Rattus norvegicus: one gene and its partner. The protein of the gene in region 1 purifies or fractionates together with the protein of each later gene. This does not show direct contact. Links are inferred from orthologs where the notes say so. Each region holds a gene or a part of one and is shown on either strand. Other genes may lie near its edges.

Region 1 (3,751 bases):
AGGTTGACTGGCCAGTGAGTTTAAGGGACCCAATTATCCCATGCCCAATTAGTGATTTCCCTCTCCCTCCTACCAGGTCTGGGATTACAGGCCCCCACCGCAACTTTTGTTTTGCTTTCTCAAGACAGTTTCTTTTGTGGCCCTGGCTGTCCTGGAACTCAGAGATCCACCGGAAGGCCTCTGCCGTCTAAGCGCCTGCGCGCAACAACTGCCCGGCTGTCACTACAACTTTTATGTGTGTGTTGCAAATCTGAACTCACATCCTTATGCTTGCAGTGGAATTCTGTCCACTGGGTCGTCTCCTCAGCTCTGTTTTGTTTTCTCGGTTTCGCTGTTTTGAGACACTATCTCTAGCCCAGACTGGCCTGAAACTTGGGATCTCCCAGCTTCAGACTGCTGTGCGCTGTGATTACAGGCGCCACCAGGGTGTTATGCCTTCTGTTTTCTTTCTTTCTTTCTTTCTTTCTTTCTTTCTTTCTTTCTTTCTTTCTTTCTTTCTTTCTTTCTCTCTCTCTCTCTCTCTCTCTCTCTCTCTCTCTCTCTCTCTTTCTTTTGGGGTGGGGGGGGGAGACAATGTGGCACTTAATACCCTCGCTACCCTGGAACTCACAACATGCATCTGGTTAGCCTCAGACTCAGAGATCCGCTCCTGTGTCTCAACTCATTCCCCAAATTTAAGTGGTTCCTTAGGCCTTTCTATCCGTGTGAGGTAAAAGGTAGCCTTTTGCTCTGTTTTATTCTAACATGAGCAAACAAACTAGGTGCCCCTGAGCCTAAGGCCAACAAGACAAAAACCTGGCCAGCTGGGTTTACAACGCCTAGCAACCGTTGCCATGACAATTCAACCCTTAAATTCACTGGCCAGTCAGTCTAGCATTACAAAAGCTAGTAGCTTTAGATTTAGTGAACATTTCCGGGGGGGGGGGTGTTTGGTTTTGTTTTTAAAGAAAACATCAGCCAGGCGTGGTGATCTGCACCTTTAATTCCCGCACTCTGGAGGCAGAGGCAGTCGGATCTCTGAGTTCAGACCAGACTACAGAGCCCTCAGCATCCCAGAAGGCGTGGGGCTGTCTCCCAGCTTTCAGTCCTGCTGTATCCCGAAATGCACTGGGGCTCGCGTGGTCAAACAACTCTGTCTAGGGTGGTTATAAAACTGCCTAAGTTTCCATGTTGGTTTAAAGCTTGTCTATATAGATTTTGGCAACTAGGAAAAGGACTGAAAGAACTACCACAATTTCTGAGCTTTAGAGACTTTGGTCGTAAATAATGAGGTCACAAAAAGCACAACGTTCTCTGGACATGCACAGGCATATTTTCGGACAGCCCTGAGTTGGCGGCGTGGGGTCCTTCAGGGCCCTAAGCGGGGCACGTGCGGTAGGAAGTAGCTCTGCCTTTCCGCTCCGCTTTCAGGACTTTCTCAACGTGGAGCTATGGGAGGTCTGGAAAAGAAGAAGGTAAGTGGGTTACAGGGGTGGTGGGTGCTTGGACTTGTCACTTTCCCTAGCCTGTGGGAACCGAGAGGTCGTGAGACGGCCGCAGGAGTAAAGCTGCTGCACGCAAGCCCCTGGAAGCCGGAGAACTCTGACGGGCTTTCTGTGGAAGGAGTTGTGAAGACTGACTGAGCTGCCAAACAACAATTAGAGAGTGATCAACGGGACGTAGAATACATCATTACGTCTTAGAAATTTTCTCTGTTGAGCCAGGCCCAGTCCTAGGTACTGGGGATTGAGAAGTAAACAATCAGATGTGGCCCCGCTTTCCCGGTGTCAACCTTTCCCGTTGGACAAAAGTAACCAGATAAAGTGGCTAAAGATTCTTTTTTTTTTTCTTTTCTTTTCTTTTTTTCGGAGCTGGGGACCGAACCCAGGGCCTTGCGCGTGGCTAAAGATTCTTAAGTGCGCTCTAGAGTAAGCTAGGAAGGAGCAGTAAAGTGAAGAGTAGCAACAGACAATTCGATTAGTGTTGTGTTGGAGGTCCTCTTCTGACGTAGCATTTTAGTGGAAATCTGAACAAGCAGAACCCTTTAGATGGGTCAGGGGCATGGAAGTGTTGGGGTATGGGCCTCAACCTTCCCCAAAGAGAATTCTCGGCACTCAGATAAAGGAGAGACTTATAACAGTGTGCAGCTGTAACTTAAAGAGGCCCAGGCTCCAACAGAAGTGTTTCGTGGTTTATATGGGGTTAGGCATTGTCACAATCGTATTTCTTAGTGTGGTCTTTTTCTCCTTACATGTTTTACAGAAGCTGAAATTTCCAGGTTTCTGGTTAAGATAGTTTTATCTTTAGCAATAGAATTTGCTATCTTATGGTATTGGTAGTGGTCACTTCTCAAGGGAGAAAAGCAGGTTTATACCTTTTTTTCCTACAGAAATGGGGAAAGGATGAGCCGGTTAACAAAAGTAGAAGTCAGTACCGTTTTAGCTCTGTTGTCTCAGATTAGAGAGTTTCATCTTCCTGTGCAACCTGGTGCTTACTAAATAAGCTTATTAATCATAATTAATGTGAAAGCTTGCTGGTTTTCTTTTCTCCTTCAGAAGTGCTTAGCAGAGAAAACTGCAGTGGAAACCAAGGCCAGTAGGTAGGAGAGGTTGGCAGTGTGCAGGGTTTTGAAAAAACACCAACATGGCTGTCTAGGTGAGGATGGGGGCTGTGCCATGTAAGGCTTGGAATTTATTCTGAGTGGAGAAGACAGCTAAAGAAAGGGTCTTGATCTGAGTTATTCTTGCTTCTGCAAGGAGACTGTAGGCTCGAAGGGACTTTGGGATAGGATGACTTAGAAGTTTCTGATACCAATCTGTTTTGTTCTTTTTAGTTACTTTTTAAAATTGTTTTTAACTGTCTTTTATTTATCTTTATGTATGACTGCCGTATCTGTATGTGCACCTGTAGGCCAGAATAGGTCATCAAATCTTATTACAAATGGGTGTGAGCCACTGTGTGGTTGCTGGGAATTGAGCTCTCGACCTCTGGAAGTGCAACCAGTGCTCTTAGCCACTGAGCCATCTCCCCAGCCCCTTTAATTATTTTTTTTTTTGAGACTATAATTACATTATCCCCTTTTCCCTTTCTTTCCCTCCAAACCTTTCCATATACTTTGACTTGCTCTCTTTCAAATTCATGGCCTCATTTAAAATGGTTCTTACATACTTATATGTATGTACATATATGTTCCTAAGTGCATAGATATACCTGCTGAGTCTATATACGTGTGTGTGTGTGTGTGTGTGTGTGTGTGTGTGTGTGTGTGTGTGTTCAGGGCTGACCATTTGGTATTGGATAGCTTATTGGTATCCTTTTTCCTGGGGAAGACTATTTCTCCCACTCACAGCATTCCTTAGTTGCCTGCAGTTCTTTGTGTAGGGTTCACAGCTTTTGGGCTTGCTTCCATCCGCGTGAGCAAGTCTGTTGTTCTTGTTCAGCTCATGTTTAGGCAGCCATGTGGCTGAGACAGCTTCTGTCACTCCTAGGATACACATCTCAGCAAACTTTCCTCTGGCACTTAAAGGTTTTCAGTTCCTTCTTCCACAGTGCCCCTGAGCCTGAGGTGTAGGAGTTGTTTTGTAGTTATATTCATTGGGATTGGGCTTCACAACTCTGTGTTTTGATTGGTTGTGGTTTTCTGTAATGGTCTCTATTGCAAAGAAGTTTCTTTGTCGAGAGGTAAGGACTACACATCTCTGGGGTCTAAGGACACATACTTAGAACGTAGTCAGGGATTATGCTGGTTTATGAAGTGATGGTTGTAGGTTCT
Region 2 (2,850 bases), on another chromosome or scaffold:
GCAAATGTCTCACGAGTCCCGAGACGATATACCCTGTGCCTATTCCTAAAAGTTCAGCACTTTACTGTTTAGAACACATTGTGGTCTTCTCCCAGGGTTCGGGTCCCAGCATGGGGCTCAGGTCAGTCTTGCCTTTGCTGATTGAGACGTCTCACCAGCCCCGCCTTTTAACAGGAGATCCTTCTGCCTGTGGCAGAGCCTGGTCTGACCTGTACCCCAGCCCCAGATGAGCCCTGACTTACTAAACAGCCCGAGTTGGCAAGTGTGAGCAGGGTCTATGCAGCTGGAGAACTGGCTGTGTCCCACAGTAGAATTCCTGCATTTGGTATGTGTAGATCTAGCCAGGAAGGGGAACCCGGCACAGCAGTGCACACCTGTAATCCCATCAATAAATAGAGGCCTAAACCGCAGGCTCCAAGCTAGCCTGGGCTACACACTCAAGATTTAAAAAAGGAGGCATGAATAACACTGGGTGAGTATCTAAGAGCTGTTCCAACAGATCCACAGACAACAGGAGGGTCTGTTGTTTTTAAAGATTTTATTTATGTACGTATGTACATGGTAGCTGTCTTCAGACACATCAGAAGAGGGCATCAGATCCCATTACAGATGGTTGTGAGCCACCATGTGGTTGCTGGGATTTGAACTCCGGTCCTCTGGAAGAACAGTCAGTGCTCTTAACCAGTGAGCCATCTCTCCAGCCTCGGGTTTGGGGTTTCATAAATGGAAAAATTCAGACCAAGACAAGATGACTTCCCACAGGGAAGGGATATAAAATTGTCCCACCAACTTCTTCACACCACTCATACTACTTCTTTCTCTTGTACCTATTAAGGAAATCAACATTAGAACCAGAAGGGAGGACAGTACTGCCTCCCACAGCAGCCTGCCTCTCCAGCCCCTCCAAAGCGCAGCATCACCTGGACTTAGACTTGAAGTTCCCTCTCCTCTGGCGGGGCAGACCTAACTGTTTCCTCTCTTCAAAGGAAGGGCTGTAAGAGAGATGAGGTATGAGCTGGGCAGGCTGTGGGGCATGAGTGACGGCACCCACCCTATCTTGGCTTCGCTGGCCAGCAGAGGAGGGACGAGTGCTGAGAGGAAAGTTTAGCGGCTGGGGCTCAGTCTCCTGTGGGCTTGTACAGAACGACATGCCCTTCTGGAAGTCAGTCGACAACTCAGAATCAGCGGGCAGGCCTTTCCGACCAGCCAGATCAAGCTGTCTATATGAGGAGAGCTCCTGTAGGGAGCACACTAGACCTCCCCTGCTCCTGCTCATCAGGACCTGAGTCACACACAGCATTATGAAGCTCTAGGGAAGAGTTGGGAGTGAGCCTGGATGCAGATGCTTCCGTGAGCAGCACAGAGGCTGAATACAGCACTTAAACCTACCCAGCCCGGTACTGTTTCAGGGCCTTCTTGCTTGTGTTGGTGAGTTCTTCATCAAACACAGACTTCTTGTGCTGCTTCTGCTTCTTGGCTGCACACAGAGAAAAATGGCTCAGAGGCTACTGAGTCCCCTGACACTGAGGGAGAGAATTCCAGAATTCAAGTACACGGATACATCCCAAGTCCTCCAAAGCTTGGTCACTGCCATGCACGCCACCAACACTTGCCCTGGTGCAGGCATCAGAATGGACCTCCTCATCGCTTACCAGGGCCTGCTGCAGGCTCTTCCTCAGGCATTGCCCGTGCTCGCTTGGTTCTGCGGTTCCTCTTGGCCAGCCGCTCTGCAAACATCTGTGCCTTGAGGATTTCAAACTGGGACCTCTCCTCCGCCTAGGAGCAGAGTGAGGGATGAGCACAGAACCAACCAGTGCTCCATGGGACCCTGTGCCACAGGGAGGCCACTCACCGTCATCTCCCCCTTTTTCTTGACGTCCTTCATAAACTTCTTCCTTTTCTTCTTTCCTCTTAAGGCCAAGTCAAACTCCTGCAGAGCCTTGGCAACTGGAATGAAAACAGAGTGGATTTTAGGGGCTGTTTGACTCTGTCAATAATTAAAATGAGAAGTAACTAGGGGGTGACAGCTCACTGAGTAAAGTGCCCTTCAGGGAAGAATGATGGCTTGGGGAGGGTTGCTCAATTATGGTTGCTGGGAGAAGGGGAGTCATACTCCTCAGTGGTGCAGCCACTGGCAAGTTGGCCCTGTTCATTTTTTTTTTTAAAGATTTATTTATTATTTATTTAATGTATACGAGTACACTGTTGCTGTCTTCACACACCAGAAGAGGGCATCAGATGCCATTACAGATGGTTGTGAGCCACCATGTGGTTGCTGGGAATTGAACTCAGGACCTCTGGAAGAGCAGTCGGTGCTCTTAACCACTGAGCCATCTCTCCAGCCCGGCCCTGTTCATTTTAAACTGGCTTCTCGACACAGAGTCTATGTACTCCTGGCTTGCCTGGAACTCAGAGATCCACCCACCTCTGCCACCAGAATCTTGAGATTAAGGGTGAACCCAGCACCCAGAAGCTATTAGATGGGGTAGTGGTGGTGGTAATCTGTTTATAACCCCAATACTGAGGTGGCAGAGAAAGGCTGATCTCTAGGGTTCACTGGCCAGCCAGACTAGGCCCATTTGCTTTGTTCTAGACCAATGAGAGACCCTAGGGCTGGAGAGATGGCTCAGTGGTTAAGAGCACTGACTGCTCTTCCAGAGGTCCTGAGTTCAATTCCCAGCAACCACATGGTGGCTCACAACCATCTGTAATGTAATCCAATGTCTACTTCTGGTGTGTCTGAAGACAGTGGCAGTGTACTCACATACATGAAATGAATAAATCTAAATAAATAAATAAATAACAGGGTGGATAACCTAAGACCCTGAAGAGAAACAGCTGAGGCTGTCT

The links.
Region 2: the proteins of Pes1 (region 1) and Ddx27 purify together in Homo sapiens (affinity purification with mass spectrometry; 4 studies listed by BioGRID and IntAct, counting the BioPlex papers as one, with this or other methods). This does not show direct contact. The link is inferred for Rattus norvegicus from reciprocal best matches to the Homo sapiens genes PES1 and DDX27.

Annotation. Positions count from the first base shown.
Region 1 is NC_086032.1:83,072,930-83,076,680, forward strand, and holds the start of Pes1 (pescadillo homolog), read left to right. Parts: upstream 1-1,416; 5' UTR 1,417-1,430; coding exon 1,431-1,454; intron 1,455-3,751. UniProt on the Homo sapiens protein: Component of the PeBoW complex, which is required for maturation of 28S and 5.8S ribosomal RNAs and formation of the 60S ribosome.
Region 2 is NC_086021.1:176,180,092-176,182,941, reverse strand, and holds the end of Ddx27 (probable ATP-dependent RNA helicase DDX27), read right to left. Parts: intron 1,948-2,850; coding exon 1,853-1,947; intron 1,777-1,852; coding exon 1,653-1,776; intron 1,478-1,652; coding exon 1,390-1,477; intron 993-1,389; coding exon 921-992; intron 828-920; coding exon 809-827; 3' UTR 524-808; downstream 1-523. UniProt on the Homo sapiens protein: Probable ATP-dependent RNA helicase. Component of the nucleolar ribosomal RNA (rRNA) processing machinery that regulates 3' end formation of ribosomal 47S rRNA.